Linked DNA regions of Rhinolophus ferrumequinum. The protein of the gene in region 2 interacts with the protein of the main gene of each other region in a biochemical or structural test. Links are inferred from orthologs where the notes say so. Each region holds a gene or a part of one and is shown on either strand. Other genes may lie near its edges.

The links. The genes of interacting proteins can lie anywhere in the genome.
Region 1: of the proteins of MAPK1 (region 2) and IER3, one has a biochemical effect on the other in vitro, tested with the Homo sapiens proteins (2 studies listed by BioGRID and IntAct). The link is inferred for Rhinolophus ferrumequinum from reciprocal best matches to the Homo sapiens genes MAPK1 and IER3.

The regions. Positions count from the first base shown.
Region 1 is NC_046286.1:1,332,687-1,338,166, reverse strand, and holds IER3 (radiation-inducible immediate-early gene IEX-1), read left to right. Parts: upstream 1-4,238; 5' UTR 4,239-4,314; coding exon 4,315-4,524; intron 4,525-4,625; coding exon 4,626-4,886; 3' UTR 4,887-4,913; downstream 4,914-5,480. UniProt on the Homo sapiens protein: May play a role in the ERK signaling pathway by inhibiting the dephosphorylation of ERK by phosphatase PP2A-PPP2R5C holoenzyme. Also acts as an ERK downstream effector mediating survival.
Region 2 is NC_046308.1:22,850,633-22,858,465, reverse strand, and holds the start of MAPK1 (mitogen-activated protein kinase 1), read right to left. Parts: upstream 3,002-7,833; 5' UTR 2,767-3,001; coding exon 2,648-2,766; intron 1-2,647. UniProt on the Homo sapiens protein: Serine/threonine kinase which acts as an essential component of the MAP kinase signal transduction pathway. MAPK1/ERK2 and MAPK3/ERK1 are the 2 MAPKs which play an important role in the MAPK/ERK cascade.

The sequences.
Region 1 (5,480 bases), on a different chromosome or scaffold from region 2:
CCAACCTTTAATAAAACTTCCTTTGCTCTCCTACTTTTATGAGTCTGAATTCTTTCACATTTTGCAAACAACCAGCGGTTAATTCCATGCCAGAACACTTTCCTGCCCTGACGGCAGGACCCTGCTCCATCCCTCCATCCCTGCTTCCCTTTCTCAGAAGCTCCCACTTCCAAACATCTGTCCCCCCTGCCCTGCCCATTCCCCCTCCTCCCGTTAACTTTGTCTCCCGTTCTAGCCTGCTCTTCGATGCAGCAGTACTACAAGTGGGATGCAGGTATAGTTCCCCTTTAGGTCAGGGACTGACAAGGGTTGAGGGCCAGGCTTTGCTTCATCGCCTCCACAGTGGTTCCTGAGCCTCAGCTGAGCACCCCCCAGCCTCCTCAGCGAAGAGGGAGTCTGGGGTCCTCTGAAGGGGCACAGCCGTGTAAACAGACATAGACACTTCTGGGTGTGAGGTGCAGCTCCTCAGAGGAGATGGAAGGAAGAGTGTTTATTAAACCTCTACTAGGTGGAAGGCCTAGTACTGGAGATCGCACGGAGATATCGTGAGGAAAAGGGCAAATGTGCTTCTGGATATTCATGGAGATCATATCCCAGTGGGGGCGACACGAAACCACAAAAAGTAAACAGATACACAAAAGAATACCCCACTGTGGTGAATGTTATGAAGAAAACAAACAAGGGGCTAAGAGAGAGGTTGGTGGGAGGTCACAGTGACAGGTCAGAGGAGGGGAATGAAGGAACACAGTGATCTCAGGAAGATGGAAGGAAATGAGGAGAGCTGGCAACGAATGGGCCTACAGGCCTGCTTTCCTAGGATTAGGGCAGTGAGAACCAGTCCGGCTGCTGGTCTCAGCCCCTGGCCCTTTCTGGCCTTCACTCATCGCTTGGCCCTCACCTCTGCACTCCCTTATTAGTTTAATGATTCACTTTCAACCTTTCCTAGCTTCCTGTGTGGGATGAGTGGGGTGGGGCAGAGCCCTGGGTCTCTGAGGGTGGCAGAAGGAATGGTTTCTCTAGTTCTCCTCTTTGTCCCATTCTGCTCTTGCCACAGAGAAAGGTCTCTCTGTGCCAGAAGGACAGTGAGGCTAACTAGGCCCAGCTGGAGGTCCTGATTCCAGATGTGGGAGGTAGTGGTGAGACAAGATCCTGACATCCTCCTTTTACTCCCCTCCCCTGCCTAATGGCCTGGGGAAATTTCCGTCATAAACAAGTATGCATTCTTCATCTGGGTGCCTCCCCCACCTTCCCCACCGAGCAGTTTTCTTCCATCATCACTCTCTCCCCCCACCTCCAATTTATGTCTGTTTGGGCATGTGGGCCCGTCCACACATGTAAGTAATCATGGATTTATGTTGGTCATTGTGTAGTGTGCAGGTTGCCTTGGAATAAGGGTGTAGGTGGGTGTGCAGGCTCACTGTGCTTGGGTGTAGGTGTAAGAATGATGGCGGCTTTGAAAGGCAGGTGTGGGAAAGGGATATGTCTTTGTTTGTAGAGGAGGTGTGTTTTATGCCTGTTAGGAAAAAGTGTGTAATGCTGAAGGGGTCCCATGTGTTTAGATGTAGTGGGTATACCGTGTTTCCCCAAAAATAAGACCTAGCCAGACCATCAGCTCTAATGCGTCTTTTGGAGCAAAAATTAATATAAGACCTGGTCTTATTTTAATATAAGACAGTGTATAATATAATATTAATTTTTGCTCCAAAAGACGCATTAGAGCTGATGGTCCGGCTAGGTCTAATTTTCGGGGAAACACAGTAAAATAAAGTGACATATAGGCCTATGAAGCAATTGTATATACAGCAATAATATATCAATTTCTAGCCCAATTGTGGGGCTGTCCCCTGGTTTGCACCCCCGCACAACCTTGGTTGAGAAATGCCCTTAGGTGTTCCTTGTTTGGGTCTGTGTAAGAATTGTCCCAGCTTTCTTAAGATGTTATAAATTTGAATGTTGGATTTGAAGAAATGTAGCCATGTCTCAAAAGCTTGGGGTGACCCTGCCAGTGTGTGCATTTTCCGTTTTGCATTTTCACCTTTCATTTATCAAGATTACTGAGTAACTGGTACACACAAGGCCCCGTGCTAGGTTCTACGGCGGACACAAGGACACAAAGACATGTGTGACACAGTCTCTAATGAAGGGTTCATGCATGTGCTCACTGTGTGTGTCAGGCATAGTACCATCCAATGTAAAGATCTGAGCCCGAGGCATTTCACATCTCCGGAGTCAGCTTTGCTGCCTTCATTCTCTGCTGTCAGCACCCCCTCTCCATGCTCCCTGACTCTACTGAAACCCATCCTATTGTTAAATTCTAGTGATCTCACACTGGGAATGTCAGGTAGCGCCACCCCCGCCACCCCCTGGTCTGGGTCCCTCAGCCACAGCCTGGTAGGGCCCTGTTACCTCCCGCTGCACCTCTGTAATAGCTTCCTGCCCCTGCCTCAATGTCTCTCCATCCAGGGCACGCTCATTGTCCCTCTCAGCTCCCAGCTTGAAGTGCCCTGTTGTCATCCCGTGCCCATCTAGTCCATCTAGTCACATCCAGATTCCTGGCCTGGCAGCTAAGCTCTCCCCACTTTGCCCAAATCCTTCCCAGTCCTCATGACTTCCCACTACTCCTTTACTGGGAACTTAGTCCAGGACTGTTTTCTTTGTGATTCCCCACACACATGCTGTACTTTTCCAGCTCAAGGCCTTTGCTGATTCCATTCTCTTTCTCACAGTCATCCTCTACATCTGATTCTGTGGTTTCCCACCCACTGCTCAAGGTCATCTCACATCCACTCTTCCATGCAGCCTCACCTCATTCATTAGTGAACACTAGCTTTTCTGAGTCCCCCTAATACTGTCTTCCATTTCCTTAGGACCCTCAAGGAGTTCTGGTCAGGCCCACTCCTGAGGTGCCCTCAGCAGCACGCACGCAGAAACCGACCTCGGTACCTCCAACAGTACCTTTAACAGGGCGCCTTGCACTGTGAATGCCCAAAAGATGATAAATTCTGTCCATGAGCAACTGAGTTACGAAAATGTGTAAATTCAGTCATAAGTTGAGTTATTATCATTACCACAACATTTGCATAACGCCTCACAATTTAAAATGCTCTTCAGATGAATTTTGTTATTTGATCCAAATAACAAGAGGCAAATCTTGGTGACTGCTAACCTCCTGCCTTCATATTTTGTGGTCCTCTGTCCCAGCTTTGTATGAACACCCAAGTGGGTAACTTCTTTGGGTTGTCCTTTGCTGTGTGTGTGTGTGTGATGTGCATGTTGTACAATATGCCACCCCAAAATGTGCCACTTTGGTATGTGGATTGACGTGAAGGCAATCGACACCCAGCAGACTCAGGAAAAGCTATTCACTTCTCCCGTAACTGCCTAAAAGAATTTATTAGGGGCCTGTACCAGGAAGAAAGCTATTACCAGAGCACTTCTTTATCTGAAAGACTCTGGGGCTGGGCAGGCCAAACATGTGCTCTTCTTGTCTTCCTGTGATCTGCCGTCCTCCCTGTGAACCCCAGACCCCCACCCCATTCCTTAGCCCCCATTCATTAGGATGGCATAGGAGCCTCAGCTGCCTATCATTGAGTCTGGTCTTCCTGGACTCCTGTGAGTAGGTAATGAAATTTGTTTTCATCCTGTTAATGTCTTATGTCAATTTAATTATTAGACCAACTGAAAAATCTAGAAGGGAAGAAGGGAAAATTTTTCCACCCCTACAATGTGCTGTATGTGTGAATGTTTGTATGTGTGTTTTCCTGTGTTCTAAGACAGGCAGGGTTGGATCTGCGTGTGCAATTGTGTTCATTTTTCTTCTGCTGCTTGACTATTTCTGTCACGACTTTCCTCTTGGGGTGTGGTTCTCTATGTGTATCTACAGGTGTGTGAATGTACCTGTGTAACTGTGGTTCGTTGATTTGGCTGGCTCAGTATTGTAGCAGGATGGCCAGACTTCCTTATGGAAACCCTGCTGCCTTCCCGGAGATGGGCCTGTGACTGAACCTCTCCTAAACTGTGCGTGGGCCGCTCTCCAGCTGCCACATGTCCCGACATGTGCATGCAGCCCGGGATTTCACCCACCCCCACTCACAAGTCACACACTCACAACACACACTTGGGCACCCAGGGTTAACAGGCCAAGTCTCCACCCCCTCCCTTTGCTTAATCGTCGGAATTTCCAGCCGGCGCCGGCCTGCCTACAGCTCTCCGCCGGGGTGGAGTTGAGAAGGGCCCGCCCAATTATTAGGCACACTTAACTAGCTCAGCTTGGCTGCGGGTCCGCACTCGTCCTTCTGCTCTGCTCAGCGCACTATGTGTCACTCTCGCAGCTCCCTTCCCACCATGACAGTCCTGCGGGCCCCGACCCCGGTACCCTCCACCAGCCCGGGACCCCGGAGGGGCTCCGGTCCTGAGATCTTCACCTTCGATCCTCTCCCGGAGCCTACAGTGGCCTCCGCCGCGCGCCCCAGCGTCTCCCGCGGGCACCGAAAGCGCAGTCGTAGGGTCCTCTACCCGCGAGTGGTGAGTGTCGCTGAAGTGTCGCTGGAGGGAGCGTCGGGGTGGGGGAACGACCAGACTTTGGGACCCTGAGCTGACCTGTTCCCTTTGTTGTCTCCCCTCAGGTCCGGCGCCAGCTGCCCGCCGAGGATCCGAACCCTGCCAAAAGGCTCCTGTTTCTCCTGCTCACCGTCGTCTTCTGCCAGATCCTGATGGCTGAAGAAGGTGTGCCGGCGCCCCTACCCCGGGAGGACGCCCCCAGCGCCGCGCCCCTGGAGCCCACCCCTGCGCCCCCGGCTCTGGAGCCCCTTAATCTGACCGCGGAGCCCTCGGACTACGCTCTGGATCTCAGCACTTTCCTCCAGCAACACCCAGCCGCCTTCTAAACGTGACTCCCCACATCCCCTAAGAAACACCAGCTGTATCTGGTGCGCGAGAGCGTATCCCAAACTGGGACTCCCGAGGCAATTCGCACTCAACACTACAGGGGAGCCGCCACCCCGCACCAGGATGGGTCACGCGCGGACCTGCGGAGGCCGGGCCGGGCAGGGAAGGAGGGGGAGAGCGGCGTTAATTTATTTCTCATTGCTCCTGATATTTATATGTATTTATGTATGTCCCCTAAGTGATAGAGGGGTGTATGTAATATTTATTTTAACTTATGCGAGGGTGCGAGACGTGCACCCCGCTGCAAATGCAGGTCTCTTGGTATTTATTGAGCTTGGTGGGATTGGTGGAGGCGCCTAGACCGAGGGAGATGGAGACGGGGCCTGGAGGGCGCCCCGCAGGGAGTTAAGGACGGTGGTGGGTCGTAGGTTTAGGGGGTGACACTGTCCTCCAGCATCTCAACCCCCTGGGTCTATTGTGTGAAGCTTCGGTGGACCGTTGGGAATAAAGTCCTTGGCCTTCGATCTCTTCGAAGTTGCCCCTAAAGGGTGGCTACGGGGTGCGAGGCGGGGGCTGTCAGGGGGCGGCTGAGG
Region 2 (7,833 bases):
TCAATATTTATTAAATGCTAATAATGTGCAATGTAGATTAACTACTTACTAGCGTATATCATCAACATGAAATCAAAAGCTATAATCTGGACCCAGAATTCTAATTCCAATTGTATTTGTATTTTATTCAGGAAAGGAAAATCACAGTAAGAGGACTAGGCCTGATAAGAGATTTAGAAGGTCAAACAAGTCTACAGCAGTGATAGAAAAGTTACCACACCTAAAATCATCTTCAGACTAGTAAAAATCCTATCAGAAAGGGGAAAAAATCCTTTCAATGAAATATCCTAAGATTTTTTCAGTCCATATTTCTTAAGATTTTATTGGGGAAGGGGAACAGGACTATTGGGGAACAGTGTGTACTTCCAGGACTTTTTTTCCCCAAGTTGTGGAGGGTGCCGTTCAGCTTCAAGTTGTTGTCCTTTCCGTCTTAGTTGTGGAGGGCGCAGCTCAGCCCACCATCCCTTGCGGGAGTCGATTGGCAACCTTGTGGTTGAGAGCCCGTGCTCCAACCAACTGAGCCATCTGTGAGGCAGCTCAGCTCAAGGTGCCAGTGTTCAATCTTAGTTGCAGGGGGCGGAGCCCACCATCCTTTGTGGGACTCAAGGAGTTGAACCAGCAACCTTGTGGTCAAGAGCCCACTGGCCCATGTGGGAATAGAACCGGCAGCCTTTGGAGTTAGGAGCATGCAGCTCCAACCGCCTGAGCCACCGGGCCAGCCCTTCAGTCCATATTTTGGATGCTAATTTTTTAAAAAGGGCCGAAGGATGTGATGGGCAATTCTGAGCCTCTTATAGTGAGACATGTTTACTGGCATACTTAACCAGCAGGTGCAACAGCAATCAGATGTATGACAGAGAAGTGATGTTGTGGGCAGTATTGTTTCTCCGTTACTTCCTAAGGCTTTTCTTTCTTTTAGGCCTGACCTAATTTAATTTCTCTATTGGCTCATAAGCCTCTGAGTTCACGTTCATTTTCATAGTTGTATACCGTGCAGCATTTTGCTCCTGAACAGAATGAGAATACTCAAGATTCAAGTAGTCTTTCTTTAAAAACACAATTTTAACTGGTCTTTTTATCTAGCTAACATATTTGGTAAACTATGCCCTCTATGTTTCTAAAATTATGATAATTCAAATTTGAATGTGTTTCTGAAATAGATTTGCTCATAACAAAATATGCTCAAATTCTAAAACTAATACCGTGTTTCTCCAAAAATAAGACCTAGCCAGACAATCAGCTCTAATGTGTCTTTTGGAGCAAAAATTAATATAAGACCCGGTCTTACAGTAAAATAAGACCGGGACTTACAGAGCTGACTGTCCGGCTAGGTCTTATTTTCAGGGAAATGGTAGTAACACTATTTAAGGATAGCAAGATGTAATGGAAAGAGCTACAGCATTTGAATTAGGATCTCAGTCTACACTCTCAAGTGTGACTCTTTAATTGTATGACCTTAGAAATTCGCTTCACCTCGAAATACTTTCTCACCTGAAAGACAGATATCACCACCTTTTCCTCCCTCAAGGTGGCTCTTCAAATAAAATGAGATAATGTACCTAACAAAGTACCTGCCACTTAGTGTTCAATAAATGTGTTTGCTTCCTTCATTCAACATAAAAGACAAGTCACAAGAAGATTTAGGTGTAAGGGAATCTACACTCCCACATGTCTCCATCAGCATAAAACACTAGCTAGTTGGTTCTAATAAAAATAATATCGTCACCCGCGTTCCCCGTTTCCAAGGGATATAGATTAAGATGAGGAACCCTGCACGTAACACTGCAAGACCTCCATTAAGGCTGCATATATACTAACCACTAAAACATTAACTGAAAAAGACCACAGTAATTGTTCTTTAACGTGTGGATGTATTTATGCTGGTAAGAGAGCTCACTCGGGGTAAAGAAAGAGAGTCAAATTAGGCCCAATTCCAAACGACTCTTTAATAAATCAGGAAAACGTTGTTGGCTTATCCTTCCAGAAACACAAACAGCACGATATTAAAATCCATTTAAAAACTTCAAGATTGAAATATTACACAACACTGGTGCCACTAATGCTTTTTAGAAAGCCTGCGCATTAGAGCACCATTAGTACCACTGAAAATATTTAATGAAAGCCGTTCGAGGAAAACACAGGCGAGAGAAGGAAAATAGATCCATTTCGGTGTTCTACACACAAGACGAGGCGAACCGCTTTCACGATCCCGGCCGCCACCACCACCGACCCACAAGCATCTAAAGGAATTCCCGGCTTTACAATCGGATGTCAAAAAGAAGACCACCATGCTGGCATTAGGGGGAATGTGGGGGAGGCGCTTCTGTTCCCTTCCTGGGGGTCCTGACTCAAAATCCGCGCTGCGCCGGAGCCCGCAACACCCGGGATCCTGGCCTCCGCCCCCCGCGCCCCTCCCGACGGCGAGCGAGGGCCAGCCCGCGAAATGCCGCGAGCAACACCCAAACCTCCACCGGCCCCAGGGCCCCGCCCGAAGCCCCAGGGGCGCGGGCCGCAGCGAAGCCCAAGGTTGGGGGCGCGGCGGCGCGGGAGGCCCAGGCGCGGACGAGGCCGCGGTTGCGTCCCCTGCGGCCCCGAAAGATGGGGTGGGCAGGCGCGGCCAGGCCTGCGGGCGGGCGCGGACACTCACCACACCATGCCGTAGGCGCCCTCGCCGATGTACGAGAGATTGGTGTAGCGCGGCCCCACGTCGAACACCTGCCCGCGGACCATCTCCGGGCCCGCGCCCGCCGCCGCCGCCGCCGCCATGTTGGCTGCCGGGCCGCCGCAGCCGCCTCCGCCGCGCTGGGCTGAGCTCGACGCTCCGCAGCCGCCGCTCGACCTACGCCGCGCCTCCCGGAGGGACCGCGCCGCAGCTGGTGCAGCTGCTGCTGCTGACCGGGAAGGAGCAAGGAGGGAACCGCTCCGAAGACCTGGAGAACCCACAGCAACCCAGAACGACTGATTGCCTGACTGACTGACGGGCGGGCCGGCGGGCGGAGGGAGGGGCGCGCGCCGAGGAGGGCGCCGGGCGGGGCCAAGCAGCGTGCGCGAGGATTAGCTCTCCGCGGCCTAGGGGCGTGGCTGCGCGGGCCGAAGGAAGCGGCGAGCTCAGGGCGGAGCTCCGCGGCTGAGCCAGCCGCGGCGCCCGCGGTACTGCCGTACGTGGTCACGTGCTATTGTGGCGGTCGGGGGGGAGGGAGTTCTGCGCAGAAAGTGGCTCTTGAGAGGCTGGAGGTATCCGAGTTGTTGGGAGAGAACCCAAAGGGGTGATCCTAAGAGACGGGCAGGGGAAAACCCGGACCGGGGTCCGGATTAAGCCTAAGAGCGACCCAGGGCAGCGTGTGAGGGACAACGACCCGCCACACACCGGCTGCAGGCCTGGGCCCGGCCTGTGCTAGTCTGTGGCCCACACACAAACTTAGAGACCTTGAGACCAGGACAGAAACCAAAAGGCATGACCGGGACCGAGAAAGACATTTGCATACTGAGAAAGTATGAAACACAAAGGTGGCAGGATCCGCTAATCAGACAGAGAGGATCGCTCAACAAGTGTTCGTTGGGTACCTACCAAGTTCCTGGGCATCCACCCCCATACAAGTTACATTCTAGAGGGAGAAGATGGACACATTTACATATATATGTATATATATATATATATATATATATATATACACTAATTACTCAAGTTGTGTGGTAAAGGTCTGAGATGTTAAGTAAAGGGTGCTATAAGGAAACAAATTTTACTATAGGATAATTGATATAAACAAGAGTTAAGTTCCTACCGTGGCCAATCCATGTTATTTGAGGACCTGCTGAAGTAGGTTGAGACGCTTAGAGAAAGACACAGAGATTCAGAGAGTGAGACCTAGATTGGTACAGAGGGACAGAAACTTAGAGGACATACTGATAAATACAAAGATGGAAACGCTAAACCCAAGCATCAAGAACTAGGGAAAATGAGACATACACACTGAGGCTAAAAAATAGTCACAAACAACATAGGTTGAAAAATAAAAACTGGAATCCTGAAGCAGTTGAAAGCCAAGAATCGCTAAGACGAGACAAAATGATCCAGCCACTGCTTCTGAACCATTTCCTATACTATCTTTGAACAGAGTAAGGGTGGAAGACCTTGCATCCTGATTGTCCAACACTGTGGTCTTGAAAGCCGTCAATGCTGGACTTCCAGACATCAGCAAAGATCAACTAATCTATCTCAAAGGTGAATGAGCAACTTTTTAGAAAAGCCCTGTGGGAAAAAACATATGTGGCACATGAGAAAAGAAAGTGCTAGAGCCAAAAATTAGTACTTTGAAATATATTTAGTTCATGAAGCAGAATTCAATTTTAGAAAACACCTAATTCTTATTCTCTGTTTCAAGAGGACATTGCATCTTTTAAAAACAGGCCAAGATAAATGGAGAGTAATATGAAACTAAAACCACAATAACCAAAGTAAAATTCATTGGTCAAAGCAGTAAAGAGCAGATTTGACAATACAGAAGAACAAATCAACAATATTGAATATAAACACAAGAAATATTCAAAGTGATGGAATTCTGTAAGAGAGAAGAAAATGGATACAAGAATATCATGGAGATTCAAACTATAGGCATCCCCCAAAAGAAGACATAACAAATCAATAATTAAAGTTATAATAAAAGAAAACTTGCCTTAGGTGTAAAAAGATCTGAGGTATAGGTAAAAAATTGAGTGAGTTTACTGGGATCCAGAAAAATTAATCAGCAGAAACCAACTTTAAGACATAATCTGGAAATCTGGAAAAATTCTTAAATTTCAGGGGTAAAGAACAAGCAGTAAGAGAATCCAATCAGAGGGGGGGAAAAGATTATTTACAAAAAAGCTAAAAACTAGTTGTCTTCAGACTCCTCCTCTGTAATAATTAAATGCCCAAAGGAAAATGGAATAAGATTAATAGCACTCTGAGGGGGTAGGTTAGAAACCTCCATGGATGGTTTCATTCCCTCCAATGCTTTAATTCCTCCCAGATCTTTAACCATTACTCAGAATATCTCTCCTGAATTCCAGGTCAGCATGTCCCTCTGGACAGACCACATGACATCCCACAGGTGCTTCAATTCCGCATATCCAAACTGCCAATGGTTAACTGCACGCATTCTGCACTCACACTTCCAGAGGGTTTGAGTCTTGGCTGCTCCACATACTACCTGTGTGACCTTGGCCTCAGTTTCCTCACTCTTCAAATGAAAATCACAATAGTATTAACCTCATAAATTTGTTGTACAGACTAAATAAAACAGTATACATAAAGAGCCTGGCACATAGTAAGTATCCAATACATGTTATGTTATTATTATCTACCCCACCAAACCTGTTCTTCATCTTGTATCTGTGGATAGCATCATCTTCACCCAGATACTCAAATTGGAAGTTTGGGTATGATCCTTAACAACTCATTTTACCTCCCTCTCATCCCTTCCCCCCATCCAAACAATCACAGACTCCTGTAAATTCTATTTCTTTAATATTTCTGAAATAGTCACTACTCAAAACATGGTCTCCAGACCAGCAGCATCTCAGGTCCCTCTTCAGACCTACTGGATCAGGATCTGCATTTTAACAAGATCCAGGTGGTTCGTACGCATATTAAACTTTGAAAAGCACTGTTTTAAATGTATGCACTTTATTCCCACTGCCATTCACCTTGACTCTTCTGCCTTCAGTGTTGCCCATCTCCAATGGCTTCTCCTCATACCCAGGTAGTCTTTCCATAACAAAATTGACCATGTCACTCCCCTTCTTAAAGCAAGTCAGTGGCTCCCCACTGCACTCAGACTGAGGTCTATGCCGACCATCCCTCCACCCCAACTCCTTTTACTCTGCCTTCCATGTTCCATACTAATCTCCCTCCACCCTTCCAGCGTTTGTGGACTTTTTAAAGCCACCACACTATCATGGCATGATGCACCTGATCACTAATTTTCTCCGGAGAACTTCTCTTGCCTGGCTCCATGCAACCTTATAATTAGAGTTTAGCTTTGCATGTGGTTTTCTGACAGGGAAAGTGCACTGACCAGAGGACAGCACTATTCAGGTCCTCTGGAGATTACTATTCATTCTAAGATGGGATTTACTTATACATCAGTCTCTACTGAGTCAGATCAGCATGATACAGGCCCAGAGGGAAAGGTTATCTAGCCTCAGTGACAATAACAAACTTCTGGAAGCACAAAGCTGAGAACTAGACTCACTGAAATAAAACTAAACTACTATCAAAGCATAAGACCCTAGTCAGATGGCTAGCTGGCCACCTGAATGTCTTCCTTATTGTCTCTCTAGAGTGGTAACAATTCACAGATTTTAGAAAACAATGGCCATCTCTTACTTTTGCCTGTCCAGCATCAACTCCTCCTTCTGGTAGCACAACCAAATTTTCTGTTGGTGAACTGTCTTCTGTCTCTTCTGCACTCTTGTGAGCAAGCATGTGACCCAGGGCTCCCCAATCAGAGTCACAGATATTAGTTCAAAGGATGCATGTGTGACCTGATCCAGGACAATGACACTCAGTCTTTTTAAGAAACAATTGGGGGGACGGCCCGGTGGCTCAGGCAGTTAGAGCTCCATGCTCCTAACTCCGAAGGCTGCCGGTTCGATTCCCACATGGGCCAGTGGGCTCTCAACCACAAGGTTGCCAGTTCAATTCCTCAAGTCCCGCAAGGGATGGTGGGCTCCGTTCCCTGCAACTAAGATTGAACACGGCACCTTGAGCTGAGCTGCCGCTGAGCTCCCGGATGGCTCAGTTGGTTGGAGTGCGTCCTCTCAACCACAAGGTTGCCGGTTCGACTCCCGCAAGGGATGGTGGGCTGTGCCCCCTGCAACTAGCAACGGCAACTGGACCTGGAGCTGAGCTGCGCCCTCCACAACTAAGACTGAAAGGACAACAACTTGAAGCGGAATGGCACCCTCCACAACTAAGATTGAAAGGACAACAACTTGACTTGGAAAACAGGCCTGGAAGTACACACTGTTCCCCAATAAAGTCCTGTTCCCCTTCCCCAATAAAAAAATAAATAAATAAAAATAAAGAAACAATTGGGAAGGGGGTGCTCCCTTTCTGTTGGGGTGCTAGGGCAGTGAGTACGTGTCTGGAGTCAAACATGCTACGAAGTGAGAAATTCTCTCTGAGAATGTAGGTGAGAAGGAAAAGCAGAATTCAGATTTGGGGACATAGTTTGAGGCTGTTCTCAGCTGAGCCTGGACTTTATAGGTTCATGAGTCAATGTATTCTCTATTTTTACTGAAGTCAATTTGAGTTAGATTCTTATCACTTGAAACCACAGAGTTTCTGACTAATACACTACCCAATTAACTCCCTTTTCTGGAAAAATTACTCAGAATTGTACAATACATCACCAAGATATGAATCAGAAACTCATGAATGATGAAATGAGAAAAGAACTGACAATGAGCCTTGCAACTAGCGAAAGACAGAGAGGTAACTGAATAAAAACACAACTCGGTATAGCCTGTTTGATGCTGATAAGTTGAAATAATTGTTGCTATGGTAACAAATAAAATGCAAAAGAAAAAAATTGAAAGAGGCATTTTTAAAATAGAAGGGCTTTTAACCTCAGATTAATGCAATGAAAACCAAAGAGGGAGAAAGAAGGTAAAAAAGCAAGGCACTAGGTCTTGTTTTACATCAATAAAGATAAAAGTTATTTTTAAAAAATAGTATAATTTTATATATTTTTTCAGTGTGAAAAGCTTTTTTGTGGCATAAAAATCTTTATGTCTACCTTATAAATTATTATAGGAGATGAAGGGGAAAATCTAATTTATACAGCAAAA